Linked DNA regions of Nothobranchius furzeri. Each later gene encodes a partner of the first gene's protein in a complex. Links are inferred from orthologs where the notes say so. Each region holds a gene or a part of one and is shown on either strand. Other genes may lie near its edges.

Region 1 (16,630 bases):
GGAGTACATTTTCCGCCTTACAACGTGAAAAATGGTCCCACACCTTTGACATTTTCTGTCTTTTTCGCACTCCACCGGGGTCCACGTTGTCCGCCATGGCTTAAAAGAAAGTTAAGTTGCGTTCGCTACTCGCGTGTGCATTCAGTGCAGTGCATGTGTGCGTCACTTATTTCGGTCCGGGTGAAACATGACCCCGGGCGATTGCAAAGCCATGAATTAATTAAACATGAAATAAACGAAGCCTCGAGGCAGAGAATTTGACTTCAGGATTTTTTGTACTCGAATTATTTGAGGTACTCGAGGAATCGTTTCAGCCCTAGTTCAAATAAAAACAACAAGGTAATAATCTTGAACAGAAGCACACTAATCCATTCAGCATTTATAGATGGAATGGGAGGACCTGGATGTAAACCATCATTTATTGTCTTTCTTCCTGTGCTGTTGTTGTTTTAGAACTCCAAGATGTTACCGCCATCAAAGCGATTTAAGATGGAAAACAGCATCACCGACGAACAGAAAGGCTCCGCGCCGCTAACAACAGGTACTGGTTGGATTAGGACGGATGCTTTGGTTGGTCGTGAGGCTCCTGCAAGCAGCTATAAATAGACCCAGGATTGTCAGCTGGGTGAAGAGTACAGCTGAGGGTGGTCTATTCAATTCAGTTCAATTCAAGTTTATTTATATAGCGCCAAATCACGACAAGAGTCGTCTCAAGGCACTTCACATAATAAACATTCCAATTCAGGTCAGTTCATTAAGCCAATCAGAAATAATGTTTCCTATATAAGGAACCCAGCAAATTGCATCAAGTCACTGACTAGTGTCAGTGACTCTACAGCAATCCTCATACTAAGCAAGCATAAAGCGACAGTGGAGAGGAAAACTCCCTTTTAACAGGAAGAAACCTCCAGAGAATCCTGGCTCAGTATAAGCAGCCATCCTCCACGACTCACTGGGGATCAAGAAGACAGAGCAGGCACACACACACACGCAGACAAAGACAAAGTAATGTGTCTATAGTTACAATGTTATTTCTTAGTAAATATTCTATTTGGTGAGAGATAAACTTTATTGTATTTATCCTAGTGAATCTATAATTAAACGGGTAAACTAGCAGGAGCACATCCAACGTCAATGAAAACAAAAAGTTATTATCAGGAGAGAGAGAATGTATTAGTGGTTAGCAGCAGTGTGCTAGACGATGGCCCCCTCCATGAGGCCACCACAGCTCAGCAGAACATCATTGTAGCTTCTTCTGGGGAGAAAAACACTTAGAGAGAAAATAAAGTTAACAGCTGAAATAGCACAAAATAGTACAGTTAAAGAGCAGATTGTAGAAGAAAGCAGTAGAGTGTGAAAAGTGGTCAGTGTATCCTCCAGCAGTCTAAGCCTATAGCAGCATAACTAAAGAGATAACTCTGGATAATCTATCCTATTTAGATGGAGACATGTTGGAGGCAGGGCAAGGGAGAGCCGTCTTTACCGACTGTACACTCCACCTCCCTCTACTCCCCCACTTGTCCAGATTTAGGCTAACATCAGATTTTAACCATAGGCCCTATCAAATAAAAATGTTTTAAGCCTAGTCTTAAAAGTAGACAAGGTGTCTGACTCACGGACTAAAGCTGGGAGCTGGTTCCACAGGAGAGGAGCCTGATAACTAAAAGATCTGCCTCCCATCCTAATTTTAGATATTCTGGGAACCACCAGTAAAGAGTCTAGAACAGGGGTTCTCAGTCCTGGTCCTGTAGGGCTGGTATTCAGCATGTTTTAGTTGTTTCTCTGCTTCAGCAATCCAGATATAATCCGCAGGTGATCAACGGGCTTCTGCAGAGCCTGACGGGCTGCTGAACAGGTGGTTTAACCAGTCAATTGTGTGTCTTGGAGCAGAGAAACCACTAAAATGTGCTGGATACCGGCCCTTTAGAACCCCTGGTCTAGGACTTCTGTTTAGTTTCTGGGTCAACTTCTCAGACCACCAAACTGCAGATAACACAAAGACTAACTGAGAACAGATGAAAACAGTTTGTGACTAAACTGTATCAAGGAAACAAAAGCTGTAATTTAGTCAGTTTTCTATCATTTGCTGCTTTTGTGTTTTAGTCTCTGTGACATCAGCCACTCCAGGAAATGCTCCTCTGAAGCCCTGCTTGGTCTCCGTGTCTCCTCTGGTGATTCCAGGTGGATCTAAACTACTCACCACCTCCGCTGACCTCTCCTCCAGGTGAGCTGGCCCTACCCTGTGTGTGTTTGGGTTGTTCAGACCTGCTGCTAACGTGAAGAGCTACATGTGGCGACCCGTGTTAGCAGCAGGTGAGAGCTCCTACGTCTCACTGACTGCATTACAGAACAGGTCCATTGATCGGTTTATCTTCTGATTTGGCTAAAGGGAGATTCCACTGAACTCTGGTGGATCAGGGCCAAGTCTGGGCCGCCTATTGGGTACCACTGGTCTAGAGATTGTTTTCTAGTGTAAAATAATCCAGTCTAGCTTTGATTAGATGGGGTTCTTCTATGTCACTGACCCAGACTTGGAGCTAGACTCTGCTAACCCTGGTTAGGGACCTGTATGCTGGTCTGGTCTGACATACTGGGACCTGAATCTGTTTCTTCTGGTTTCCAGCCTCTCTGGTGCTCCCTCTGCTCCAGCCACCTCCAACCCGGTTCCAGTTCCTGTCGTCCCAACAGAGGTGCATAAAGAAGAGTTTATGGATGCGGTTCATGACGTCCCAGTCCAGATGACAGGGCTAGAGACGTCTCCTTGTTCCAGTTCTAAGACAAACACAGCAGAGTCAAGTTTAGGCCAGACCACTGGTTCTGTTGAGCAACAGCAAAGTGACTCTCCAGAATCTGGATCCAACACAACAGAACCTTCTGAGGCCAAAGAGCTGCAGGAGGGCCAGGAGATCTACATTGAGACTGAGCAGCTAACAGTCCAGCTGGCTGAACCAGGATCAGATGGGATTGTTATCGTCAACGGACCAGACGGGACAACCATGCACATCCAGACACCAGAGGGCGTCCCACTGGAGGCAGTCCAGGCCATGCTGGGCATCGAGACTTCAAATGGAGACAGACCTCCCCAGTAAACCGGCTCTAGGGGATCAGAACTGGACCAGCAGCAGGGTGTGGCCACATACCCACCTGTCAGTTTGTCTCCTCCAATCAGAACTCTAGAAACATCAAAGGGGGGGGGCTTTCCACCTGGAACTGGTTCTGTCTTGTGAGTTTGGACCAACATGTATGATGGCTCCCAACAGGTGTGAGTTGGCCCTGCCCACATTAATGTTCACATCTTTGGCATTCTTCATTAAATCTGGGTTGAGATATTCTGTTCCGCTGTCACAATATAAATATAAAACTTTGTATTATTATTTTTATTCAATGTTTTTCTTCTGCAAGTGAGTACAAATGGGAAAGGATCCTCAGAATCCCCCAAGTGGACTCTTTAGGTTTACTTCAACAGGATAAAACGGGAACCTGGATCACCTCCAGAGGACAGAAGCTCTTCCTGCTGCCTGACGGGCTCCAGTGAAAAATAAAAACAGATTTTTATCAGAAAACAAACACACGCACTTGTTGAGTTTTTAACAAACTGTTTGGATTTCTATAATCTTTTCAAGGCCAAGTGTTTTCTATTGAATCTATTATTTATTCACCCTTTCATCTGGTGGTGAACTACATGGTAGCCACAGGTGTCCTGGGCCCGGCTGCTACTTTCTCACCACCAGCACTTACACACAAGCACGGCAAGTTAGGTGTCCTGCTCAAGGACACAACGGCAGAGTAAGCTAGGTTTGTTTCTGTAAACTGACTGGGTTCCAACTGGACTCAGAACCTCCAGAAACGCCCCAGAGAAGCGCCGCTGTACAGAACCCGATCACGTTCTGATACCTGGTTCCTTTGTGTAATCGGATCAGAACACTGGCCCGTTTCAGCCGTGACCAGTGAGAGAACGGGGCTGTGTGAAATCAAACTGTCACGTGGGCCCAGCTCGTGTGGTGTGTTTACCTGTCAGCTGTGATGATGTCATCAGCAGCCTCTGCTTGTTTTTAAACATTTAGCTGGTTGTTTGTAAACTAGTTTTCATTGTTTCTACATATTTGAAACAAGGGGATGTTTGGCTGAATGTTTAAACATAGATGGATATAAAGTGTGAAAGTTGGATTATTTTAGTATTTTTGTTATAAAACTTGACTCTGGACATTGTTGGACTGCAGTTGGGTGAGCTGAAACGTCTAGGAGAAACTTTTATTTTGATAGTTCAGGCGCAGAAGCTTATTTCCTGTTCCAATAAATCCTGTCACAGTCTCCGTTTCAGCAACAACTGAATTCTTCCAAAAGGCATGATGTGTAAAAATATTTGTGGGTAAGATTTGGTCATTTGGGGCGTCATCTAAATGTACCACCTTCTTACCACTTCCTGTTTGTAAGTTCATCTTAAAATCCGTCAGCTTGACGGTTTCCTACGCCTACCCTGCATTAGCTTTGGATAAAACAAAAAAAGATGGTGAAATGCTAGGATTTGAAAATCCTTACACTGTGATGTCACACTATGAATTTGCATATTTTTTGCAGCGAGGGGAGAGAGCAGAGTGTGATGGTGACTTTGCAACATGGCTGAACGTGTTCTCTTAGCCTATCAGAAGTGAGGTGTGTACATATCATTAATAATGAGCAATCCTGGTGTTTTCAGCCCACCTCTGCATCTCACAACAGGAGCATCATAGCTTTTTTAAATTACTCGTGAGCAGTGTTGGGAGTAACGCGGTACAAAAGTAATTACTGTAATGCATTGCTTTTTGCTGTAATGTGGTAATGTAAGGCATTACAGGGAAAGAAAAGGGTAATATTTACTCGGTACAATTGTCAGTAACGCGGTAATTACAATGCATTTTCAAACCCAGAATCAGGATGTGGGTTTCCTAAAAATTAAAATTGCGGGTAGCCTGAAAAAAGATCCAGTATCCACATATATGACATCATTTATGGACTCAGCTTTAGGGCATTCTATGAGCAGAGAGGACGCAGCGGTAATGCCTCAAATACTCCAGCTGTGCAGTGCGCACGGCCGTTGTTAAATTCACAAAACCACTCCACCAAAACAAGGTCATTCGCTTGCGATCATTTATCAGCCGATATTCTCTGGTACTTCATGTAATTTTCAGCTGAGTTCATAATCTGTACCCCGGTGATTTCAACTCATTGCTGCTGGAGCGCAGCGCATATTAAGCTTTTTATTTTTTTGCTTTCGGTAGATCCCTTTGGCTGATTAGTTAGAAAGTAGGAAGTCTAGGAAACAGTTTTTCTGGAAGACGGAGAAAACATGCAGCATGCAGGAAGGTCAGAGAGAGAAAGGGCAGGAAATGATTCACATAAAACCAAGAAAACAAAACAAAAGTGCTTGAAAAGAAAAAAATGGCACATTTATCCCCAATACACATTTTTACCAGTGAAAAGCAATAATATATAAGCATTTAATATTTATACATGTGATAGAATCAGATCACCCCAGAAGTCAGTCCCACATCCAGGGCCGTATCAAGGCATTTGAGGACCAAGGCAAACATAGGCTTGGAGCCCCCACCACCTCACTCCCTGCTCAGATGGCCCTATAAGATGGCAGCGTGCTGAGAGTACAGATTGTTGTTGCTTTTATTTAATAAACAATCATTTTAAAGCACTGTTATTATATCTGACTGTTTTTAACAGCAACCCTAGCTCAGACACCACATCACCTTCCACATATATGTCATGAGCTCGCTGAACGTCACATTACCAGACTCATATTGAAGTTGTTTTGGTGAAAGTAACTTAAAGTAATGCAAAAGTAGTGTAATGCCGTACATTTTTAAATCAGTAATATTGTAATATAATGAATTACTTTAAAATGAAGGTAACAAGTAATAAATAATGCATTACAGTTTTGAAGTAACTTGCCCAACACTGCTCGTGAGGCATTGACTTACAGTAGAGAACACTGCAAATGTAAACCACAACTTAAAAAGGTTAAATGAAGAAAGGAGCAAAGCTTCAGGATAACCGCGCTCGTCTCAGACCAGTTTATTAGCGATCATCTAATGTTTCAGAGCTGCTCAGACCTCCAGTTGTTGCCCAGCTCTGACCTGCTGATGGTGCGGAACAAGCACGATATCTGATCACTTCAGAACTATCAGCCTTTGGTGGTGGTGCGTTCACTGACCACGACATGCTTCTGCTGCTTAACCGTTGTGCATTCAGGAACCATAACTAATCAGGTATGAGGAGTTCCAGGATGACCGGACCTGAGTCATGGCATTGGTGAAGACAGAAGCATTTGTTATGAGATGTTTTGCTGAACATGTGCAGGATTTCATACCCAGTTTCTGATTCCTGCTGCTCTTCTGTAGGACAATCATAAAAACTTCTCTAATGCAGGTCTACACCCTAACCATCGCTCCCACGGACCACAGGAGGGTTCACTACAGCAGGCCAGTCTAGAGTGGGCGATGGCCCGTCTCCAGCAGCAGAGCCTCTAGTCCAAGTCTGGTTGCTGCTGGGATGAAAGGCTGGTGGAGCCAACAGGACAGATAGACCTTGGAGAGGTCAGAGGTCATGGTGTGGGCGACTTCCTGCAGAATCGTCTGCTTCAACTTCAGCTCCTGACTGAAGGCAGCCAGCAGGACACCAGACATCTCCTCTGAAACAGCAGACAGACCATATTAAACTTATTGGTTCAGTGGATTCATCAAAGGTTGGAAGACAATTGAAGTTATTTTCTAATGTGTGTCCAGACATCTGCATCTCCACCGCCAAAGGAACCTGCTGCTCTCATTCCAGAGGACCACCGGGAACACCAACTCCTCCACAAGGAGTGGAGACGTGGGTGATGACTGAACAGGAGGTCTTTGTTATCATCAGAGTTCTAGTTAGTGGATCACTCATCAGAACGTCTGAGGTCACAGCATGAAAGCATGCGTTTGTGATGGTAGCAGCATCAGATTGTTGCCATAGAGACAACTGGACCACCTCATAATCAGCATATACTCCTCCTGCTCAGTTTATGATGCCAGGTGTTGGTAGTTTTCCCCGTGGAAGCAGAACCCCGTCCAGGTGACGTCAGCGTGTTAGCTTCAGGTGGACCTACCAAACTCCCGGGTCTTCCAGCTGAGACACAGAGGGACACGTCTTCCTTCAGGACCAAACTGAAACTCCTCCAGCTGCAGAACGCCACGCTGTATCTCCACCAGGTGCTCCATCTTTTTCACCACAACAACCTGAGCAGAAGAAACACGTGGCTGGAGTGAACCAGGGTTACGTACTGAAAACTAAATGAGCAGAAGTCATTTATTTGACGTGAGATTGAATTAAACGGTCCCAGACCAACCGCAGCTTTCCACACACAGCAGCTGTTTATCAGGTTAGAAAAACTATTTTATTCTGAGACTCAACATATAAACTCCTGATTTATGGAACCGTGCCAGATGAAGGTTAAATGAAGCATCACCATTCTGTCAACGACATCCTGCAGTTTGAGGCATTCATCCTGCAGCTCCGCAGCTCCAGCCACCTGCTGCGCCTCAGCCGATGTGGACTGTGACGGTGGTGGACACGTGTCCAACACCAGCAGATCTCCCTGAGAACTGAAGACATAAACATCACCACAGCTGATGATCCCTCTGATTTATGAGTCTTTAAAAACCGACCGCTTAGAGCTTAATGTAGACAAACGAGTAAAGCTCCGTCTTATGATTGCTCTAAAGAAAACGAGTTATCTCCACCCTTACTCATCTGGATCCCAGAGGGTATCTAGTGTGTGTGTGTGGGGGGGGGGGGGCTAACTTAGAGAAAAATAACCTAAATAACAAACTCACTGCCTCATGTTGACGATACTTGCTGCCAAATTGAATCCTTCGTCGTTCAGCCTGTCCCACCTGAGCATCAGGTTGTGCCAGTCAGCGGCGTTGTCTCTGATCTTCCTTGCACTTCCTGTGATCCAGGTGCACCTCCTGTTTGATGGGGTCGCTGAGGTGTCACAAGAATCACCTAGAAACCGTGAATTTGTGTTATTTCTCCTTTCATGCAGTGAAACGGAGCACACACACACACACACAGAAATGATTTGTTTGTCATACAAAGATCTGCTAAACTAGCTTGGGTAGACAGGTTTGTCCCCCTTAAAGAGACATTTGTCCTTTTGGTTTAACTTCACTTCACATCAGCCATCATCTGACCCGTTTGAGGAGTCATGCTGCAGCTGGTTGGGCCAAACTGAACCTGGACCACAGAAACATTAGCTGTCAGATGAGCTCACAAAGGTCAGGGGTATTAAAGGCCACGGCTCATAGACCGTCTCCAGGCAGCTTCATGGTCCTGGGACCTCAGCTGACAATTTTAATAAAGTAGGAGGTTGATGGGAATGTGGGCAACCACTAAGAACGTGGATCCGAGATGAGATCCACTCTCAGGTTGATCAGAAGGAAGAATCAGACAAACAATGCATCCAGGACTGTTGAAGCCTTTCTGATCCCACCATGAGGGGTTGAAGACCCAGGAGGATTCCTGGTGACAGAAAAACCCAAAAGAACAGACTAGAGATCACCAAAAACCACACTGACGAGCTTCAGGGAGAGCATCATTTTGATTGATGAGATGGAAATCGGCTCTAGAAACACTGTAGAAGATGGAGGAAGATCAGTTCTGTTCTGGACTCACTGCACCTGGACCAAGGATTCCTGAAAAGGTTCAGGGTCCAATCCCAGGACCACCAAGACCCTCTGGAGCCAAATCTACTGTCCAGAGTCTATCATCAGAAAACACAGCTAGGAACACCGAGAATGGATCAGAACCAAGCACTGGACTGTTCTGAACTGATCTAGATGCTGTTGAACATCTGTGATAAGAGCAGAAACATCTGGAGAAAGAACACCTGGAGCAGTGTGGCCACGAGTAATGGGACAGAATACCTGCGGACAGGAACGATCTAAATAAGTTGTCCTAGTGAATGTTGATGAGGCAGCTGGGTTCTGCAGGGTTTCATTTACAACCCTGCAGTAAAACATCCACACGTCATCAGAATGTTTTAACCCGGAAGCTGCAGGTTATTCAGACCTGAACAAAAACTACTTCACTAATCAAGAAGATCCTCACCTTCCATCTGATCCTGAAGTTCTCGCATAAAATCCAGCTGAATTATGCTGAGTCTTCTTCTTCTTCGACGTTTGTGGGTGGTAGCAGTGCAGCATTACTGCCCCCACCTGGCCTGGAGTGGACACACGTTTATCAAACAATAAAAAAGGAAGTATTTTTATTGGATCTGCAGCTGTGGACACTCAAATTCCACTACGCGGAGATAGTGGGATTTTGGGGTTAACTGTAAACACTGATCCGTCCCGTCTGCCGTCCGGGTGGACACTGAGGTATTTATGTTCCTCCGCCACCTCCACCTTCTCTCCCAGGATGGAACAAGCATTTAGCATGTTCCCGTTTCTTCTAAAATCCGCAGTCATCTCATGTTTTTTCCGTTTTTTAACACACTATTGCACTAGAGGCCCACCAGTGATCTGTGTCTCACTACTTAATGACAGACTTATCTGACTCCAAATATCACTGGCCTTTTTTAGTGTTTATTTCCCCCCAGGATGCTAGTTAATTAAAGAAGAGCATTAGAACCACCGAAAGAAAAGTCAGAATTATTTTTCACATTTATTTTTTTCCATTTTATATTTAATTATGTAAAAATTGTATTTAAATAGCAAATTCATTTATTTATTTACCTCATTTGGTTTCATTTCTGCTCTGTGACCAGTTGGTGGCGGTAGTGCACCAAGTACTTTCGTGCCAGCCGCCATAAAACATCAAGCAGAAGAAGAATCTTTCATTAGAAGATGGCGGACGAAGCTGGTGAGTGTCGAGCACGTTTTGTAAGCGACAGTCTGTGTTTAATTTATTGCTAAGTTTGAACATAATTCTGCTGAGTCAGGGATTTTATTAACAACACGTCCACGTGCACGTACAAGCGTGTTTTACGCAGAAGGAATCGCAGTAAAAAAAATTCCTAAGTTGGTCTATGAGGAGGTTTGGCAGCGTCTGAGCCAGTTAAAACAAACAAATCCCTCCACGTGTCCAACATGCTTTAGTAGTTGGGTTTAATTCAATAACAGAACTAAGGGTTTGCTCTGTGGACTCGTGTTTTCTTCATAAGCTCCAGCAGCGTTTAGTGTAGTTAACTTTGAGAGAGCGGGTTCTCGGTCAGTGGCCTGTTAGCTCCGCTAGCAGCCACGTGCGCTCCACCACGTGCTGCAGCTGCAGGCCACGTGGGCTCTATATCATTCATTTACAGTTTTCCAAATTTACCAAACTGCAACAGGGATTTAAATTTCTGTTCCTTCAGATAAAATACTTTCTTTCGGTCGTACTTTTTCCACTGAAAGGCCCTTTTGGGCTCAGAGTTGCACTGGAGCAGGGCCCATCTCCAGGGCCACCATGCTGCACGTGCTGCAGGTTTGCTGCTCCTGCACACATGAAGGTAATCGCCTGGATAAACCTGTTGAACACTCTTTTAAAAAGCAGGTGTAGTATGGTCCCTGGAGTTAGTGACCTTTAACCTGAGGTTACCTGGGACCAGTAACCTGTTATAATGCAATGTTCAGTTCCCGGTGGGCATGAAGACTCGTCTAGAATATTGGTGAACACTTGAGCAGTCTGGCTAGTGACAAAACACCACTTAGGGCCCGGTAGATTGTTGTTCTCTGAGAAAATCCTGGAATTCTGATTTTAGGAAGGATTTATGCTACTTTAGTTTGGTTTTTATTTTGCAGCATCCACAAAGAAGAAGAAGAAGTCGAAGAGAGTGGCTGAAGATGTTGGGGTTGGTGTGAATTTATTCAACTTAAGATCTATTTGGAGATTCTCTTCCTGTTGAACAAACTGATGTTTTTATTCAACAGGAGATCCAAGAGAGTCAAGAGTTTTTAATCCAGCCAGACACCAAAGTCCCCACTTTGGACTCCTCCCAGTGGCCCTTGTTATTAAAGGTCAGGAACCCCTCCTCCTGTTTGTGCCTGCTGACATGTTTGACCCTGGTCATGTGATATGATGAACTGGTTTATCCATTCTCTGAGTGCTGTGGGCCTGTTGTGGTCTTTGCTTCTGCTCCGTTCTGGATCAGAGCTTCTCCTGCGGCTGCTAGAGGGGTCTCGGCGTTCTGCCTGACCACGACCAGTAGCCGTCTGGGGAATGACCCCACTTGACCACAGCCAAGACGACCTCCTATTCTGATCACATTGACTCTGTGCTATAAAGCATTTGTTATCTGCTCTGTTTAGTGACATGTTTGTGGTTTCATCTGGTGTAATGAGTTGACTCGACTAGAACCCTGTTGGAATCGGCTCTAGCTGTCAGACAAGCGTTTCCCCTGGGAATTTTTCCGGTGGTGGTGCTGGGGGGAGAATGATTGACAAGTCTCACCTTTATGTTAATATTAAAAACCCTTCTACACCCCTGCTTAGTAGACTTAATGAAGTATTTTTAAGCCAGTATAAAAATGACTGAAACAAAAATTTACATATTTGGCATTATTGACCCATATCTTTGATTTAATTTGTGTTAAGAACATCAAGATGCATTACAGTGAACATTATAATAAAGTAAATTTTTCTAGTGCAGAGAGGAGACAACCCATAGAAGCACTGATTTGATCTCATTTCAGAGAAAAATAGAACAGGTTAGATGCACCTAATAAATAAAATTACTAACAAACTCAGGAATCTGTTTCTTTGCTTCATTGTTCTGGTGCTGAAAATATCACTAATGCGGATCAAAGGAGATACACAGATGAATGCACCTCTTATTTATTATTTGTAAATTAGTGGGTGTGGTTTACATCAATGCATTATTTTAAATCTGAAATTGGATTGATCAGAAGTTGATATGTGTATTGTTTATCTGAAAACTATTTACAGAGCAGCCTCAGAACTGAGATTAAATATTTTTGATCACAATAGTAAAGAAACCATTACAGAACAAGTTTTTCAGTAAAATCAGAACATTAATGTTTAAGTGCATGAATAAATGCATCTGAACTCATGCAGTAGGAACTAGGAAATATGAAATACTAGAATTTATTTTAATTTGATTAAACTGATTTTTTCCTCACATTGTTGGCATTTTTCCCACACACGGTTAAACAAAACTATGTTGACTGAGGTGTGTGTGTGTGAGTGAGAGAGTTAAAATAAATACATTAAAAAAAAAACCTGAGCGGAGGCAGTGACCGACGCATGCACAAGCCGTTTTCAGCTCTGTCTTGTCTAGAGCTGAAACAACTAATCGATTATAATCGATTATTAAAATAGTTAACAACCTTTTTAGTCATCGATTAGTTGTTTAATAATCATATTTTACCGCATAAAGTCTATTTTTTACCACAATCTGACATCGGTTACAAGCTGTTAAATTTGCCGCCAGTGTGTGGCAGTAATGAGCCACTGATCTACCAGTGGAGCCGTAGAAGAAGAAATGAGCCAATGAGTGCCCTCGGTTTTCATGACGTATCACGTTACTGACGCTCATCTTGCTGTGAGAGATGGCGGAACAAGAGGAAATACGGAAGAAAATAGAAGCGACAAAACTTTAGAGAAACCCCGGACAAAAACCTCACGAGTATGGGAGCACTTCAGTCTAGATGCCTTGAAAAGGCAAAATATGCAAAAACCATCTAGCATGGCACGGAAGCACGACGTCCCTAAGTGAACATTTGAGACGAAAACGTGGGGGCTGAGGAAGAGCACCGCGGTCAAGTGAGCCGTCATTTGGAAGAGCCAGCCCGGTAAGTAACAGAAAATAAACAAGCTGGACTTAGTGTTTTAGCTGAGTTCGTTATAGTGGATGTTAAACATGTTTTTTTGTCGCGTCAGTCTACGGTGTTCTACTTCTGATTGACTAGATGCAATCGTGAATCTCCTCCGTGTTGTGAATCATGCGCTTGCCAAATTCAGCACGTCTGTTTATAAGAATGTTCTAGTTAAGAGAAAAACGGCACAAACCCATAACTATGTTCCTCATTCAAAAAAGGACAACTCTGCGGTGAAAAATATACAGACGAGCTGTGTCCAGGTGAATATAACGCGGCATAGTTGTACGCTTTCAATTTTTAAATACAGGAGAAATTCAGAAAAAGTCATTTTTTTACTATTAAAAGGCTGTTTTACTGTCTAACGCTGTAAAACGCCTCACAACACATTTTTATCATGTTTCTTAAACAGTATTACACAAAATAAACATTTTTCACATTTTTCTAGCTAATTTAAACACTCCCGACTCAAAGTAAAAACCTCATGAGCTTCTTACTTAGAGCTTTTTAATAGTAAAAAAATTAGACTTTTTTTCTTAATATCTCCTGTTGCGGCCTATTTTGTAGAACGTAACCCTCAAAATAAATGATCACTGTATATTGTTAATTAATACAAATAATTTAACATTGATTTAGTGTTGTAGTGTGTGTGCTGCTTTATTTTATATGTGTACTTATTTCAGTCTATTTGTGTTTCTTATGCAGAAAAAAACAAGCAACGATGGACAACTACATGGGGAACAAGACACTCACCCCCCAGCAATTCATACCACTTACAAACTCTATTCTAAACATGCTGGTAAAAGACATGAGGCCACTATCCATGGTGGAAGGAGCAGGCTTCCAGCTAATGCTAAAAAATTATTCTGGACTGATATTTTGCACTGTTTAGCTCATTTTATACTGCTGACTGTGTTCATGTGCAATAAAATAGATTGCAGTCAACTGCACAATTCTCTTATGTTTTTTTTTTCTTAACTGAAATGCATCCATCACTTGTATAGGTTAAATAGCTAAACAGTAACAAACCGATTAATCGAAAAAATAATCGACAGATTAATCGATTATGAAAATAATCGTTAGTTGCAGCCCTAGTCTTGTCAAATGCACCGCGTACGTTATGAAAAAAGTTACTTTAAATATTCAACCGAAAAAGAGGCGAGCTGAAGAAAACCTAGAGTGCACTGAAGAAAGGTGAGCAACAGTGAAGCAATCAGAGAGATCCGTTACTGTGTGTGGATGGGCCGGACGGACTGAGCTCCCTGCAGACTTATGTGTAGGGAGGGGCGGGCACTCTATGTGAATGGCCAATCACAGAGCATGAAGACAGTCAGTTACCCAATGAGGATTTTCCTTCAGCACACTTAGATATTTACGAGTTTAATGCTCGTATTCGTCAAAAATGCTTTATCCGTACCGGATACTCGTCTGAAATGAGTATCCGGCTCATCCCTAGCTGTAACCTCCCTGCCCTGCCACCTCCTCCTTGCTGCCTGTCGGCTGTGATCACAAGCAACGGAGTAGTTCCCGCTGCTTCTTCGGGAAACGGCGCAAAAAAAAAAAATTTAACTTGGGATCTTGTAGGCGTGGCGCTGGGATTTCAGCTGTGGCAAGCCGCCACAGCTACACCTATGTAAGGGAAACTCTGCAGACCCACTAGCTGAGGTGGTTTGTTTTGCTTCTTGCAGAATCTCCATAAGCTGAACATCCTTACATCTCATTACACCCCCATACCCAGTGGCAGCAACCCGCTGAAAAGAAACATCAGCGACTATGTCAGGTACTTTCACTAGATCACAGCTCTGACTGAGCTCTATCTACAGTGGTGACCATGCATCTCCTCTCATCAGGTCTGGATTCATCAACCTGGACAAACCAGCCAACCCTTCGTCTCATGAGGTGGTGGCGTGGATCCGGAGGATCCTGCGAGTGGAGAAGACGGGCCACAGCGGGACTCTAGACCCAAAGGTCACTGGCTGCCTCATCGTCTGCATTGACCGAGCCACCAGACTAGTGAAGTCCCAGCAGAGTGCTGGTGAGTGCCCAATGCATTAACCCCAAAAGCTTTAAGAAGTGGGCAAACATTTATTAGCTAATGTACATGCTGTGTGCATGTCAGTAGCCACTGGTGGACTCAAATCTTTTGAATATGTGGCCTACATCCAACAGGAAGTCATCCATTTAGGGTCAAAGATGCCATTTGCAACTTGTTGGTTGTATAAAAACAAAAAGCTTCTGTGTGTTACAGGTAAGGAGTATGTGGGAATCGTTCGGCTGCACAACGCAGTAGAGAGTGAACACGTGCTGGCCCGGGTAAGTCACACCCTGTATTTGCTGCCTTTCCTCTGACCTGACCAGCTGATGGTCCTGAATGTCCTCTGCAGGCCCTGGAGACCTTGACCGGAGCTCTATTCCAGCGTCCTCCCCTCATCGCTGCAGTGAAACGTCAGCTGAGAGTCCGAACCATCTACGAGAGCAAGCTGATCGAGTACGACCCAGAGCGGAGGCTGGGTGAGACACTCATTTTGACGCCGAGGTCATGAAGTTTGATGCTCTTCTGCTTTAAATCATGTTTTTCTTCTGAACAGGCATCTTCTGGGTCAGCTGTGAAGCAGGAACTTACATCAGGACTTTGTGTGTCCACCTGGGACTTTTACTTGGAGTTGGAGGACAGATGCAGGAATTGAGGAGGGTCCGGTCTGGAGTTCTGGGCGAGAAGGTCAGTGTGTGTCCACGTGCATCTTGCTGTTGTGATGGTTTATTGTATCACAGCTGGTTAAGTGATCGCAGTAGGAACCACGTTCAGTTCTCTAGTCCAAAGTGTTGAGTCCAGCTCTGCTGCTTAGTGCCGAGCTGTTAATTAGACTTTGGAAGAGTAAGCGCAGCGGAGCAACGATGGGCGTGCATGTCCGCCTGTTGAGACTCGGTGCTGCTAACATAACATCTGCTTTCAGGACAACTTGGTGACGATGCACGATGTTCTCGATGCTCAGTGGCAATTTGATCACAATAAAGATGAGACTTATCTGAGGAGAGTCATCTTCCCTCTAGAAAAGCTGCTGGTGTCATACAAACGGCTGATGATGAAGGACAGCGCGGTGAGTCTTCCTCTAGTCGGGGACAGCGTGTGACCGTCTGTGAACGGAGAACAATGCAGTGTGGGTTAAATCTGTCGGAGTGAACTCATGAGTGCCTCTACAGGTGAACGCCATCTGTTACGGTGCCAAGATCATGCTTCCTGGTGTCCTCCGGTACGAAGACGGCATAGAGGTTAACCAGGACATCGTTGTCATAACAACCAAAGGCGAGGCCATCTGTACAGGTGAGTCTGTTGTGGCGTGCTGATTTTGGTGTGAAGCCACATGATGAGTTGAGTAGATGCAGCAGCTTTCGGGCAGTGATGACCTGCTATCTATCACCCTTTTCTGATGGCCTCCAGAAGACCTCACTAAACTCTAGAAGGGGTTAAAATCACATTAACCACATCCTCCTCCTCCTCTAGCGGTAGCACTGATGACCACAGCAGTGATCTCCACCTGTGATCACGGCGTCGTGGCGAAGATCAAGAGGGTGATCATGGAGAGAGACACGTATCCACGGAAATGGGGTCTGGGTCCAAAGGTGGGTGTCGTGTTATGATAGTAAATGTACAAATCTGATTTTTTTTTTAATCTGCCAATAAACAAAAATAATTCCAATAACTTTGTAAATAAAATTTGAGTAGAAGAAACTGTTATTTATTTTTAATCAGGCATGTAAGAAGAAGATGATGATCAAACAAGGACTCCTAGACAAACA
Region 2 (15,696 bases), on another chromosome or scaffold:
TCCTTCAGACCGACTCGTTGGTTCTAGACCATCAGACTGACTTGTTGTGTCTGGACCTCCTTCTGACTTGATTTGTTGGTTATAGACCTCTTTCAGACCATCTCGTTGGTTCTGTACCTCCTTCGGCCCGACGTGTTGGTTGTGGATCTCCTTCAGGCCAACTCGTTGGGTCTGGACCTGCTTTGGGCTAACTAGTTGGGTCTGGACCTCCTCCTGACTTGACTCGTTGGCTCTGGACCTCCTTCAGGCCAACTCGTTGGGTCTGGACCTCCTTCAGGCCGATTCTTGGGTTCTGGACCTCCTTCAGGCCGACTCGTTGGGTCTAGACCTCCTTCGGACTTGACTCGTTGGTTCTAGACCTCCTTCAGACTGACTCGTTGGGTCTGGACCTCCTTCGGACTTGACTTGTTGGTTCTAGACCTCCTTCAGACTGACTCGTTGGGTCTGGACCTCCTTCTGTCTTGACTTGTTGGTTCTAGACCTCCCTCAGACTGACTTGTTGGTTCTAGACCTCCCTCAGACTGACTTGTTGGTTCTAGACCTCCTTCAGGACGACTCGTTGGGTCTGGACCTCCTTCTGTCTTGACTTGTTGGTTCTAGACCTCCCTCAGACTGACTTGTTGGTTCTAGACCTCCCTCAGACTGACTTGTTGGTTCTAGACCTCCTTCAGGCCGACTCGTTGGGTCTGGACCTCCTTCTGACTTGACTTGTTGGTTCTAGACCTCCCTCAGACTGACTTGTTGGTTCTAGACCTCCTTCAGGCCGACTCGTTGGGTCTGGAGTCACTGCACTGACCTGGGATTTAGTCAGCTGGGCTCTGTGGATCTGTTTGTCCATGGATTCCTTCAGAAAGCAGACTCGTACATGTTCAGTATAATTGGTTTGGTGGTTCTCTTGACGCTGTTGCTTAGGGTTAGTCGTTTACCTTTGATGTTGTTTATCGTGATGAATTTTATGGCGAGCAGCGGAACCTCCTCTACAGCTCGCGATTAGTCTTCAGGAAGGGGTTGAAGGGGCGGAGCCTCGGGTGGGTTTGTTTTTATTTGTAGCATTCTGGGTAACAGGAGGAGGAGCAGGAGGAGCCACGCCTCCTCTGAGGGTTTTGTGTAGCAGGAAGCAGCTTCCGATCGGATCGCTGGAGACAATCAGGACTTGTGGACCGAGTTATGGGTTCGCAATCTGGGTTTATGTGTCAAATCGACCTATCATCACATCCCTTTTATGATTTGGTTTCTATGGTAACACTGCACCCAATAAGCGCTGGCCATGCCGCCACTGGGTTAGAGCCCCCTGCTGGTGTAAGTGGATGCTGCAGGACAGGATGGGAGGGGACGGGCGGCGTGCACGCCTCCTCGGGCGGCGGCTCGGTGAAAGCCCTTTTGTAATAAACCATCCGTAAAGCAGCAGGTTTACTATGAATGAGTTTGAGCTTCTTCCCGTTGAAGGCGTGCACGCTGGCCTCCAGCGCCGACAGGAAATGACTGCACGCAGGGCGTTTTACCTTGAAAAGGTCAGGTCAGCGTCTTATTTTGAAAGGGTCGAACATCACTGACCTCCAGGCAGATAATCCATGACTGTTCGTAAAGTCACAAAGCAATACGGCCCCGATGGATCAGCTGTGGCGAACCCAGCTAGCATTACTTCTCTGGTTCCTTTGGTCTTTGGTTGGTTTTACTTTGGCACCCGCCAGCGGGACGTGTTGGGCGGACTAGTCGGTCGGCTGTAGACCGGTTCCTCTACCACATGTAGACTTTGCTCGCCTGCATGCCGAAGTTTCGTCCTTTTAATATCGATCTTTTTCAATCATATTTATTATGAGAATAAAATATAAACTTTTGGGGTAAACGTTTCTGGGTTAGTGGGACTGATTTAGTCTAGCAATACCTGTCCGTCTGGCGTTAAGGCTCCCGTCGATCATCTGCTTGTTTCTGGGGGGGGGGGGTTCTCAACATCGGTTCCGATCCAAACGAGGTACTTTGTTCAAATGTGGACCCGTTAGAAGAGCTACCCCTTCCCTCTGTGGTGAGTTGTGAGGGGGCGTGGTCACACGTACACACCTGTGGCCACGCCTCCTGACCCCTCAGAAGCATTTGTGTTTGACGGGTCCCGGCGGCACCGGAGGAGCAGGATTACCTCTTTTTAACCTTTTGAAGCTCCCTGATGGGTTCGGCTCCACGGAGAGCACGGATTATTTTGGAATTCCTCACTTTGATATCTTGTTATATTGATGGATTTGTAATTTTGTGTATTTCATTTTTGTTTTTACCTCTTTGGTTCCTGTTGGGGGTTAAGCTAAAGCGGTTGGACCAGAACAGTTCTGTTCTGTGATTGGTTGTAAGAAGGCAGGGCCTGATTTAGCCCCGCCCACCCAGCAGAGGGTCATGAATTTGCTATTATTATGTGACATGTTCAGATTTTTTTTTAGCCTGCAGGGAAATCTTGTGTTAATGTGCAAAGTAATAAATCGTATTTTATGCCCATAAAGCTGCTGTCCTGTTTGTCCCGTGACCAATCAGCTGATCGCCCTTACAGGTCAGCTGATCGCCCTTACAGGTCAGCTGATCTTACAGGTCAGCTGATGGCCTTTACAGGTCAGCTGATCTTACAGGTCAGCTGATCGCCTTTACAGGTCAGCTGATCGCCTTTGCAGGTCAGCTGATCGCCTTTGCAGGTCAGCTGATCGCCCTTACAGGTCAGCTGATCTTACAGGTCAGCTGATCGCCTTTACAGGTCAGCTGATCGCCTTTACAGGTCAGCTGATCGCCCTTACAGGTCAGCTGATCTTACAGGTCAGCTGATCGCCTTTACAGGTCAGCTGATCGCCCTTACAGGTCAGCTGATCTTACAGGTCAGCTGATGGCCCTTACAGGTCAGCTGATCTTACAGGTCAGCTGATGGCCCTTACAGGTCAGCTGATCTTACAGGTCAGCTGACCTGAAAGACTAGGCGGATTTGGAACATCGTTATTCGTTTCAGATAAAAGCATCAAACATGTTTTTGGCAGTTTCATTTATTTAAAACTAAAACAGCTGAATTTTTTTAAAATCTCTAAATGTGAGAAAAACAAACAAATCTTTTATCCTTCAAACAAAAGAAAAATGATTTCAGCAAAAGTTTGGAAACAAAAGAAACCAGCTGTTAATCAACAGGATTAGATGAATCTGTGGCAGTCACCTGACCTCCAGAGCTCCGATTTTCTCTCTGGGCCCATGAATGCATCATTTCCAACCCAGGACCGTCCGGCCTTCCCTACGGAAGGTTTCACTCCCAGAATCAGGATTTGATTTAAATTGAACTGGATGTCTGAGGATGATCATCTCAGCCACTTCCTGTTTCCTGTCGAGCTGTCATGACGACCGTTACCGTGGAGATCGTGTCACCAGACAGAAGAAACCCGAGCAGCTGGTATTGATGTTGTAATATTTAATTCATGGTGCTACTGAGCGCGCTCAGAGCTGAGGGATTGATCCGTTCTGAGCGCGCTCAGTGTGTTTATCAGCTGATCTGTGAACGGTTCTGCTGTGAGCAAAGCCCCCCCCCCCCCCCCCTACACACACCTGTCCAGTTCTCCCTATCTGGTTTGACAGCAGAACCTGCGGGTCGAGCCGCACCAGCCTGTTCTTTCAGACCTTCTGAGAATCGGACTGACCCATTTGGGCCGGTCGCTGGGGGAGGGGCTGAAGTGGACACCTGGGAGGAGACACTTCAGCTGGAGACATTTAAACCGACCGATCATCAAAACAGCTGATCAGGTTCTGAAGCAGCTCGCTGGTTCTGGACGGGTTTCTTTCCAGAGTCAGAGCCGATCCAGGTAGCACCAGAGCTTTGTATATCAGGTCTCCGTAAGGTCACCGGCCCAGGACACGGCACCGAGTCTGAACTGGACTCGGACAAGCAGCCCACTCTGATCGGATCCGTTGACCGCGCCGGGGTCAAAGGTCACAGCGCCGCTGCTGAATAATGCATCAGGTCCTCGTCGAGAACAAAAGACAGAGAAAGTCTTCGTGTTGGTGATCCAGAGACGAGGGGCCGAGCAGAGGACAGCCATACCCTTGGAGCCTCTGACTGGGGACAAACCAAGTCCAAGGGCCCAAAGGGACCTGGGGACCGGAGGAACTCGGAGCAGATGCTGATGAGGAGGAGGACGAGGCTGAAGGCTTTCTGACATTCCGATCAAAGGAAAGAGAAGGGGGATCAGAGAACCCGAGCCGACGCACAGAGCCTCCCGCCAGCAGCCGTCGCCATGGTGAACACGGGGATGCAGCTGATCAGCTTCACGTGCGCGGTGACGGGCTGGATCATGGCGATCGCCGTCACGGCGCTGCCTCAGTGGAAGGTGTCGGCTTTCATCGGCAGCAACATCCTGACGTCGGAGATGAAGTGGGAGGGCATCTGGATGAACTGCATCTACCAGACCACGGGTCACATGCAGTGTAAGACCTACGACTCCATGTTGGCGCTGCCGCCGGACATCCAGGCCGCTCGCGCCCTCATGTGCCTCGCCATCTTCATGGGCTGGCTGTCCTGCACCGTGTCCTGCTGCGGAATGAAGTGCACCACCTGCGCCGGAGACGACCGCCGGGCCAAAGCGGGAATCGCGCTGGCAGGAGGAATTCTCTTCATCGTCACCGGCCTGTGTGTTCTGATCCCGGTCTCCTGGACCGCCAACACGGTGGTCCAGGACTTCTACAACCCCAACGTTCCCGTCATGCACAAGCGGGAGCTGGGTCAGGCCATCTACCTGGGCTGGGCCGCCGCCGTCATCCTGATGATCAGCGGCGCCGTGCTGAGCAGCACCTGTCCGCTGATGGAGCGGGGCGGCCGGTACCGTCGCGGCTACGTCGGCCGGAGTTTCGCCAACTCGCCCGCACCGGAACCACCGAAACCCATCATCTCCAACAACGTCCCTCTGAAGGAGTACGTCTAGGGGGGGGGGTACCACTAACAGAGTGACCCTTTATTTATTTATTTATTTACACACAGGACTGTGTGTGTGAGTGTGTGAGTGTGTGTGTGTGTGTGTGTGAGAGTGTGTGTGTGTGTGTGTGTGTGTGAGAGTGTGTGTGAGAGTGTGTGTGAGAGTGTGTGTGTGTGTGTGTGTGTGTGTGTGTGTGAGTGTGTGTGTGTGTGTGTGTGAGTGTGTGTGTGTGTGACAGAGACTGAACTATTTGGCGTGCTAGCTTGTTAGCGTGTGCGGTGCAGGCTGTAATCTCTCCAGATCTTCACACAAACTTCTGGTTTTCAAATAAAAGCGTTTGACATTAAGAGCTGGAAGCGTCTTGTGTCCTCGGGTCGGGTCGGGTCGGGTCAGCGAACCCTCGCTAGCTCACTGAGGCTGGATGAAGAGAGAGAGTCTGCAGAGTGAATCTGAAAAGAGACAAAATCCAGCAAATCGGACCGTTGGGAGACCTGAACATGGGGGTGGGCTCTGGTCCACGTGTCACGACTCACCTGTGATCTGTTGATCGGCACTCGGAGACTCCAGAGATTTCCACCTTTTGGGAGCAGATTCCAGCAGAAGGAGTTGGTCCGGCCTCAGCGTCTGCAGCAGAGCTTTCCTCTGTAGGAATCTGAAGATGAGTTCAGGGAAACGACAACAGCAGGATAACGGGAATGCCAGGAGGCCCACAGGAAGGATACTGCTGCCTGTAGAAGCGCTCAGCGTCCTGGATCCACTGCAGCATGTCGGCCAGAGACGGGACGGTGGCCGAGCGCTCCGTCAGCATCGTCAGGTCCACAGAACTCTGCTGGTACTGCTGCAGGAGAGCAGAGGCCTGGCTACTGATGGAATCTCTGATGGACTGCAGACGGCACCTGGAGGAGGAACACAACACATGGACCGTCAGAAGATGGGTCACGAGCTGCTTCACAATAAATAACTAAAAAGATGAGAATAAAATGGGAGAAACAATTAAAAAGTAAGTGGATCATAGTTATAACGTCCAGCTAAGATGGATAGCCAACGCGCATGCGCTCCATCATAACCCTGGAACGGGTGTTGTTCTACTTCTGACCACTAGATGTCAGTATCACCCCGAAGCTCCGATTATTGATGACAATAACTAACGCTGACGTACGTTTATTTCCCGCCAGCGTGGTTCTGAGGGCTCTGACTCACATGTTCTCACCGAGCCTCTGGAGCACCGTGTCCGCAGCCTGCAGCAGCTTGACCCGCAGCAGCTCCTCCAGCTGCGGGAAGACTCGGAGCGGCGTGTCGAGCAGCTGGACGCGGGTCAGCGCGCTCATCTGCTCCGCCAGGTTCCCCAGAGCCTCCATGAGCGGGCTGCACTCCTCCAACACGCTCCTCCAGACCTCCCGCTGCTTCTCCAGACTCACGAAGCTCCTCCTCAGCGCCTCCTGCAGCGGCTCGGACATGCTCCGGTTCTCCTGCTCGAACCCGTTCCTACTTCACGCACGTCTCCACGCGGCAGCTCACGTCTAGAGCCCGCTTCCGGTCTCCGGATGTAAACAATGACTTATGATGCGTTCAGGGCACCTCAGAAGTCCGAGCTCTCACTCGAGCTCCATTTCAACTCCATCACCGTTGACCATATAAACAACACGTGTGGGGGGTGCAGTCGTTAGGGTGATCTAAACTCTAGTCCTGTGATTCATTTGTAGTCGGCAGTAATTCTAAATGATGCAATTTTAATGTTTTATATAGTCTAAAGACAGGATTACGTCATTTGACAAACACGGAATTCAGCAAAGTTACGGCTACAGTTCAAAAGTATGTTTTATGTAACAAGTGTAGGAAATTCCTACTTTATACGTTGTCAGTGAACGTAGCATGGAAAAGATCCAGTAGTTAGGAATGTTTTTATTTATCCATGAAGACAGCAGTGCGTGTCGGAACATAACGTACACCCTGTTAATAAATAATAAACACAGTTTTAATGGCGCTTAAACACGTTAAAGACCACAGCGTTTATTTTCCACCCTTTACATTTAACAATGTTCAGTTTTACAAACGGAATAAAACTACTGAAATGAAAGAATGAGCTTCAGTAAACTTTGTTCTTGTAAAAGAAAATGATAGAATGAACACATTAATCATTCAGTAACAATCTTCCTGTTTATAACACGTAAGTCAAAACCTACACACACCTATTCATATTTAGCTGTTCTTTAAGTCCCGATCAAGGACCAATTCATAAAGATATTGATCCAATAGAAACTCACAACGAGGAAGAACGGAACGTTTGTTGGTGAAACAAAGTTTCCGTCAGAGCTCTGCGTGCAGCGCGAGCCACAGAGACAGCTGTTGCCATAGATATGTATATATAAACATTTATGTTTATATAATAAACATAAATACAACACATAAACATTTATGTACATATGGCTGTTGTCACCGAGTACCCTAATAACGTGACTGTTACTACACCCCAAGCCACGTGATGGCAGTAATGCACGTTTGCCAAGCGCTGGTAAACGCCTCAGTGTTGTGACGCAGTAAAAACGTACGTCCTCATTGGCTGACGTGTCCCAGCGCAGAATTTTAAAACGTCTAGTAGGAAGAAGTAAGCGGCAAAAGAAACGCAGGTGACTTTTCTCTAATTTAAGGCTGATAAATCGGATTAAAGTGATGTTTTATCAATTTTATAAGATGTGTGAATAAATGGTCGGTAGAAAAATCCGCGCGAAGCCCTGATGCTAAATAACTAGCTAGCGCAGTCAGCGGATAACGTCCTCGTGCCTGCTCTTTTAGCTAAAGCTTATCTTCTGTGAAACGGTTTCAGACTCTCTGGACTAAATCCTTCCACTCCGCGCTGACATGGCTCCACGGAAGAGAACCACCAGGCAGCAGAAGAACAACCCGAAGGTCGCGAAGATCGAAGCTTTTCTGCACGACTACGACAGCGAAGGTGCAGAATTAGCCTAAGAACTCAGATGCTAGCAGACACTCTCTAAAGGGTCTGGGTTAGTGAGCGCTAACCCGAGTTAACCAGAACCCGTTACTAGCAGACTCTTACTGGGCTTCAAGTCACTCAAACGCTGGAATTTGTTGTTTTGAAGGATTAAAAAAAAGTTTTAACTTCAAGCAGAATAACTGACTTTATGGGACGAGGAAGTGAAAAGAGTTTGTGTGTGTGTGTGTGTGTGTGTGTGTGTGTGTGCGCGCGCGCGCGCAGTGAAAACCAGGGTGGACCAGCTGCAGGGGCAGTTGGAAGGCCTGCTGAAGGACGTGGACAACCGCTACGACATGGCTCTGATCAAACTATCCAAAGCTGAGCGACAGGCCGTCTGGTTGGAGCACTGCAGTAAGTCCTCCTCACACACACCGCTGAGCTCACCATGAAGCGGGTCAGAACCAGCACTCTGAGCTTCTTCTCAGACTGACTGTCACCAGAGACACCCAGGAGGAGCATTCCCGTCTTTTACTTCCGGTTTCTGTACAGGTGCTGAAAAACCCAAAACCCCAGAAGTCAGCGACACAAAGGTGAGTTCCCCCGTCACCGCCAGAGTTTTCTTCTGCTTGTGAAGAGGGTTGTCCTCTAGTCCAGTCTCAAGCCATCCTGGATGAATGAATCTACACCAGGGCCCTCACTGATCAAGCGTCTTCTGTTCCTGCCTGTGACGGAAACTTAGAACGTTAGAGCGAACGGTCAAAGACCTGATTTAAGAAACGTGCGGTGGCGTCTCGCACGCACGTTCCGTACCCAGGTGCTCGTGTCTGTTGGGTTAGGGAGTAACCGATCCGCCATGATGGCACATCAGATTCCCGTCGGTCACACGCGTCCATTATTGGTTTTAGCTCCAGTTATCTAACAGCCGTTCCCCGCTCCACCTCTAGATGCTGCTCCTACGCATGGTCACCGCTGTTCTTGTGATTAGGAACAGGAGTACAAACGTTCCACGCACAGATCTGTTCTAAGTACGGCTGATAAACGAGGGCCCAGCTCCTCCAGGGATCCTATCCAGCGTGTTGTTTCTCTGCTTCAACTCACCCTTCATGGTTGCTGGTGAACCACCTGCTGAATACAAGCAGGCGTGTTGGAGCAGAGGGACCTCTAGAAGCTGCCGGATGGCGGTTCTGGAGGCCTGGACACTGCTGACTTCCTGCTTTATTTGTGTTTAAGCAGAGAGAAGAGGAGGATGCGATCTGCGAGAGCGTCGTTGCCGACGACCACTCCGTCCTGAAATCCATCCAGAAGAGTAGGTTTGTGTCGGCGTAAGGTTCTGTTGAAGGAACAAAGTTGAGCTGTTCCTGTCCCTTCTGACTTGCAGCGGTGAAGAAGAAAGGTGGAGCCTCCTCAGAAGATGAAAACCTGCTGACCTCAAAGAAGGTTTCTGATTTTCTGGTTTTTACCCAGAATGCATCGCTCTGCTTGTTTCATAGGCTTTTTATTTTAGGGGAGAACAAGCAAGAAGCCCCCGTCCTCATCAAAACGATCCAAGGCGGTCAGCAAACAGAGCGCCGTCGTCAGACAGTGAGTGTGTTTCCTTAGCTGAAGCTCCGCCCCCTCAGGTGTGTTGGCTCTGACTGTGAGTGTGTGCAGCTCCAACAGGAAGCCGATGGTCACTCCTGCCAGATCCGTGCTGGACTCCTCCCTAATGATGGGACAGACTCCTCTCATCACCCCACGCTTCGACCCCAGGTAAGCCTCACCTGGCCTCCGAGGGGCGGTCCTTAAACGCCTCTCCCCAGAGAAAAAAGGGAGACAGCTCGACTTTCAAAATAAAACCTTTTCATTCTGCCAATCAGTGTAATGAGAGCCATGTGATCAGTTCCATCTGTGATCGGCTGGTCAGAACCTCTGATTGTTTTGGTCCATAGAAGCTTTTACTGTGCCCTGGTTCTGGTTCTGGTTCCACCAGTTAAACCAGAACCAGCGCACTCGGTTAAAGGTGTGGAACGCTCGTTTAAGCTGCGGTGGTCTCTAGTAGGAATGAATGACTTGTAGGTCGTTCTCAGGGGACTGAAAACACTGGTGCACCATTTCTAGAAACAAGCAGCGAGCCAGATCAGAGCTGAGCTTCGGAGGGCGGGATCTGGAGTCTTACTTCCTGATATGTGGACATCTCCGCTCTGATTGGCTAACAACAACACGACTCCAACACTGACTACTCTGCATCGTTGATATTTTATCTCCTCCAATAACACAAGGCTGGAGGAGTTCTGCTGTGTGGTGGATTTGCTAATGCTAATGGTTAGCTTATGCTAGCCAAGGCGTTGTCTAGTGTTGACTATTGAATAGTTTTCACTTGATACCGGTTCCTAAACGGTAATTAGATCGGTACAAGAAAACACGTTCAAATGACCCCACGACTTTTGGGTGTTGCAAAGGTCACCCCTGGGTGATGTCACCCCTGGATGATGTCACCCCTGGATGATGTCACCCCTGTGTGATGTCACCCCTGGATGATGTCACCCTGGGTGATGTCACCCCTGGATGATGTCACCCCTGGGTGATGTCACCCCTGGATGATGTCACCCCTGCGTGATGTCACCCCTGGATGATGTCACCCCTGGATGATGTCACTCCTGCGTGATGCCACCCCTGCGTGATGCCACCCCTGGATGATGTCACCCCTGCGTGATGTCACCCCTGGGTGATGTCACCCCTGGATGATGTCACCCCTGCGTGATGTCACCCCTGCGTGATGTCACCCCTGGATGATGTCACCCCTGCGTGATGTCACCCCTGGATGATGTCACCCCTGGATGATGTCACCCCTGCGCGATGTCACCCCTGCGTGATGTCACCCCTGGGTGATGTCACCCCTGGATGATGTCACCCCTGGATGATGTCACCCCTGCGTGATGTCACCCCTGCGTGATGTCACCCCTGCGTGATGTCACCCCTGGATGATGTCACCCCTGCGTGATGTCACCCCTGGATGATGTCACCCCTGCGTGATGTCACCCCTGTGTCAGAAACAAGCACATTCGCTCCTGATCCGTGGAGATTCCACGGTGCTAAAACGGATGCGCTCCTCTTCCTCTTTAGGAGGAAGGTGCCACAGCTGTGCCTGCAAGCCCACAACATCTAAACACCTCCTCATTTGTAGTCCAGCCAACCCTGCCGCTGCTCACATGGCTGCGGGTACGATTACGCTCTGAGTTTTGAGCTGTGTCGCTTTTTCTAACAGTTTTTCAGACCTGCTTGACGTTTCCCATCCTGAGCTTACCTAGCGAGCACCTGTGGTAAAGCTCAGCTGCTAACCGTCGTCTATTTTCACGTTCAGCCTGCATCAGAGTGACCCGTTAGAATCAGACAGAACCATTAAAACGTGGTTTTTCAGGGTTTCATCCCTTTAATGAGAGGGTGAGGTGTGGACGCTGCTGTCGTTCTGCGTTAGTACCTCCGGCCCGGTGCCTGATTCACACCAACTACAGAACGGGTGCGGTCTGGTTCCGGAGGCACCGTTGTCGTTTGGCTGAGCGTCTCCAGATATCCACTCCGGCCAGAACACCAAATCCGAGTTCACGCGATAACGCCGTATAAAGAGATGAGCTCTGTGGTCCGTGTGGATCTGGCGTTGGATCCAGACCGACCCAATCAGGAGACCGGGAATTGGAACCTGCATCCGAGTCCCTCGGTCCTGTTGAATGTGTCCCAGTCAGCATTCGTACTTTGTCTCCTCAGACTTCCTAAAACTCCCGTGGTGAGAGTTCCTCGTCACAAAGAGAAAGTCTACAGCATCTCCGTCAACGGGTCTCCCATCGCAGCGGGAAGTCAGGACATCGTCATCAGCGTTCCTGTGGGGAACGGAGAGGTGAGCGTGAGCGGACCTGTTGGAGTTGTTGAACTGAAACACTTGGTGTTTGTGTGACTCGGACTGGAGGATGTGTCCGTGACGGACTTGTGATCTGTGCTACAGAACCTGCAGCTGCTGGCCAGTCAGATGGACTCGGTGGACCTGTCCCTGCTGGACGAGACGGCTCTGAGAAGCATTCGACATCTGCAGGTGAATGATCAGCTGTTCCAGAGTGAAACATCTGGACCCATGGGGCGGGGCAGCTAGGTGCTGCAGCCAATCAAATCACAGCATCCTGTTAGAGGAGCGTGTCCTCGTCCCTTCAGAGGACACGTCAGGCTGCAGACCTGAGCATGAATCTGGAGTGTTGCTCACCACCAGGGCCGTAACGTAGCGGCCATGATGACACCGCTGCTGTGGAGAGCCTCGTCTCCTCCCGTTCTGGTGAGCTCCGGTCCCTTAACCGGGCTGAACCGGGCTGAAGGGTACTTCTAACCCGCTCTGCCTCAGATGCTGGAACACTCGTGCTGTACTTCTACTATGCTGCTGTTTCTACCACACCTGCCCGGTCCTGTGAGATTCATCAGCTGGTAAAGTTCATAAGTAGCATGGCTACAGCAGAAATCAGCACGCTGCATATGTGACATCACCACAGAAGCCCCTCCCCCAGCATAGCTGCTATTCACCACATGACCAGATTCATGGTTCTTTCCTCCTGAAGGATTTGTAGTTCACTCTAACACACCAGATGTTCTGTCCACACTCACACGCACACATTCACTCACACACTCACACGCACACATTCACTCACACACACGCACACAGACACGCACGCACACACACACTCACGGGCACACAGACGGACACACTCACGGGCACACAGACGGACACGCTCGCACAGGCATGCACTCACACGCACACACTCACGGGCACGGACACACACATTCACTCACACACACACACTCACACGCACGCACACACAGACACGCACGCACACACACTCACACGCACACACTCACACACACACACGCACGCACGCACTCACACGCACACACTCACGGGCACACAGACGGACACACGCTCGCACAGGCATGCACTCACGTGCACGCACACACTCACGGGCACGGACACACACAGACACACACACACGCACAGGCATGCACAGACACACTCACGTGCACGCACACACTCACGGGCACGCACGGACACACACGCACAGACACGCACACACGCATGCACACACACGCACGGACACACACACAGGCATGCACAGACACGCACACACTCATGCACACACACGCACACACTCATGCACACACACACAGACACACACACACACGCACAGGCATGCACAGACACGCACACACTCATGCACACACACGCACACACTCATGCACACACACGCACACACTCATGCACACACACGCACACACTCATGCACACACACACAGGCATGCACAGACACGCACACACTCACGCACACACTCACGCACACACTCATGCACACACACACGCACAGGCATGCACAGACACGCACGGACACACACACACACACACGCACGCACAGACACGCACACACGCACGCACAGGCACGCACGCACAGACACGCACACACGCATGCACACACACACACACACACGCACGCACAGACACTCACACACGCATGCACACACACGCACGGACACACACAGGCATGCACACACTCACGCACACACTCATGCACACACACACAGACACACACACATGCACAGGCATGCACAGATACACACACACGCACAGACACACGCACACACACATGCGTGCACACACACACGCACGCACGGGCACACGCACGCACAGGCATGCACAGACACACACAGCATGCACAGACACTCACACACACACATGCACGCACGTACAGGCATGCACAGACACACACACACACACACACACGCATGCACAGACACACACACACACGCACGCATGCACAGACACACACGCACAAACAGACACACACACGCACAGACAGACACACACACACACACACACATGCACGCACGCGCGTGCACAGACACTCGCTTGCACACGCATGCATGCACAGACACACACACACGCACGCACAGACACTCACACACAGGCATGCACACACACGCACGGACACACACAGGCATGCACACACTCACGCACACACTCATGCACACACACACAGATACACACACACGCACAGGCATGCACAGATACACACACACGCACAGACACACGCACACACACATGCGTGCACACACACACGCACGCACGGGCACACGCACGCACAGGCATGCACAGACACACACAGCATGCACAGACACTCACACACACACATGCACGCACGTACAGGCATGCACAGACACACACACACACACACGCACAGGCATGCACAGACACACACACACACACGCACGCACAGGCATGCACAGACACACACACACACACACGCACGTACAGGCATGCACAGACACACACACACACACACGCATGCACAGGCACACACAGCATGCACAGACACTCACACACACACATGCACGCACGTACAGGCATGCACAGACACACACACACACACACGCACGCATGCACAGACACACACGCACGCACAGACACACACACACACACACACACACGCACGCGCGTGCACAGACACTCGCGTGCACACACACGCATGCACAGACACACACACACCCACGCAGACACTCGCACACACACGCACATGCACGCACAGACACTCACACACACGCGCACATATACGCACAGACACACACGCGCGCACGCATGCACAGACACACATGTGTGCATACACACACACGCACAGGCACGCACAGACACACACACGCATGCACAGACACACACATGCATGCACACACACTCACACATGCACACACACACACATGCACAGACACACACATGCATGCACACACACTCACGCACAGGCACACACAGACACACACACACACTGCTGAAGCTGAAAGGTATCTTAGCGGCTTGATTAGCTTCTGTAATGACGTGCTGCTACGGACACAGGTTAGACAGGTGACACAGGTCAGACAGGTGACACAGGTTAGACAGGTCACACAGGTTAGACAGGTCACACAGGTTAGACAGGTGACACAGGTTAGACAGGTGACTCAGGTTAGACAGGTGACACAGGTCAGACAGGTGACACAGGTTAGACAGGTGACACAGGTTAGACAGGTGACACAGGTTAGACAGGTGACTCAGGTCACACAGGTCAGACAGGTGACACAGGTTAGACAGGTGACACAGGTTAGACAGGTGACACAGGTTAGACAGGTGACACAGGTCAGACAGGACTAACGTGAAACGGCACGTTCATTTAAAAGGCGTTTCATATTGAACAGAAATCCAAACGTATTTACATTTCCTGTTCTGTCCCAGTCACGTGATTATGAAGAACTCGACTCCCATTTCACGGGAATCCCGCAGGACTCGCATGACCCTCTTGGATCCTAAAAAATGTTCTGGCGAGGAGGTTTCCCGATCGTGTTTCCCGTCACGGATCAAAGATCTGATTGCTTTTTCTTTCCTCTCTGACAGAATCGCCTGACGGCTCTGTGTGGGACGGCCGAGTGACTCCATCTGACCTTCCGTGTTCTAGTGTCCGGGTTCTGGAGCGTCCCGAAGTTCTCCTCTTGTCCCTGAAACCTAAGAACATTCAGAACTTTAGTCCTGTAAATATTCACTAGTCCCTGTTTTATGTTCAGTCTGATCCTGTTTTTGGTTTTAGTGGCGCTGATGTTGGTTTGTACTGATTTTTACTGGTTTATACTGGTTCAGACTGGTTTATACTGGTCTGGTCTGGTTTATACTAGTTTATACTGGCCTAAACTGGTCTGGACTGGTTTATACTGGTTCAGACTGGTTTATACTGGTTTATACTGGTCTGGACTGGTTTATACTGGTTCAGACTGGTTTATCCTGATTCAGACTGGTTTATACTGGTTCGGACTGGTTTATAC

What was found.
Region 2: the proteins of cinp (region 1) and airim are in contact, whole or in part, in a cryo-EM structure (PDB 8RHN), measured with the Homo sapiens proteins. The link is inferred for Nothobranchius furzeri from reciprocal best matches to the Homo sapiens genes CINP and AIRIM. Residues at the interface, in NP_116019.1 of Homo sapiens: Leu161, Leu162, Thr165, Glu169, Asp177, Leu178, Leu180, Ser181, Tyr182, Ser184, Met185, His188, Pro190, Tyr191, Val192, Glu193, Ser194; in NP_001289959.1 of Homo sapiens: Leu107, Gln110, Ala113, Ala114, Asn116, Leu117, Phe119, Val122, Ala124, Leu125, Phe128, Pro129, Asp130, Leu131, Arg134, Leu135, Lys138, Gln139, Ala142.

Annotation. Positions count from the first base shown.
Region 1 is NC_091758.1:16,259,592-16,276,221, reverse strand, and holds cinp (cyclin-dependent kinase 2-interacting protein), read right to left. Parts: upstream 9,286-16,630; 5' UTR 9,158-9,285; coding exon 9,130-9,157; intron 8,026-9,129; coding exon 7,854-8,025; intron 7,623-7,853; coding exon 7,487-7,622; intron 7,257-7,486; coding exon 7,127-7,256; intron 6,680-7,126; coding exon 6,477-6,679; 3' UTR 5,984-6,476; downstream 1-5,983. Other genes in the region: znf839 (zinc finger protein 839), read left to right, coding at 454-541, 2,104-2,224, 2,624-3,089; H/ACA ribonucleoprotein complex subunit DKC1, read left to right, coding at 9,867-9,882, 10,800-10,849, 10,929-11,015, 14,521-14,612, 14,683-14,867, 15,081-15,145, 15,217-15,343, 15,421-15,551 and 4 more. UniProt on the Homo sapiens protein: Component of the DNA replication complex, which interacts with two kinases, CDK2 and CDC7, thereby providing a functional and physical link between CDK2 and CDC7 during firing of the origins of replication.
Region 2 is NC_091759.1:26,712,744-26,728,439, reverse strand, and holds airim (AFG2-interacting ribosome maturation factor), read right to left. Parts: upstream 6,486-15,696; 5' UTR 6,377-6,485; coding exon 6,120-6,376; intron 5,816-6,119; coding exon 5,642-5,815; intron 5,572-5,641; coding exon 5,453-5,571; intron 5,369-5,452; coding exon 5,328-5,368; 3' UTR 5,139-5,327; downstream 1-5,138. Other genes in the region: cldn35 (claudin-4), read left to right, coding at 4,245-4,928; cdca8 (borealin), read left to right, coding at 7,779-7,869, 8,137-8,265, 8,404-8,444, 9,085-9,160, 9,233-9,291, 9,359-9,435, 9,505-9,603, 11,596-11,725 and 2 more. UniProt on the Homo sapiens protein: Part of the 55LCC heterohexameric ATPase complex which is chromatin-associated and promotes replisome proteostasis to maintain replication fork progression and genome stability.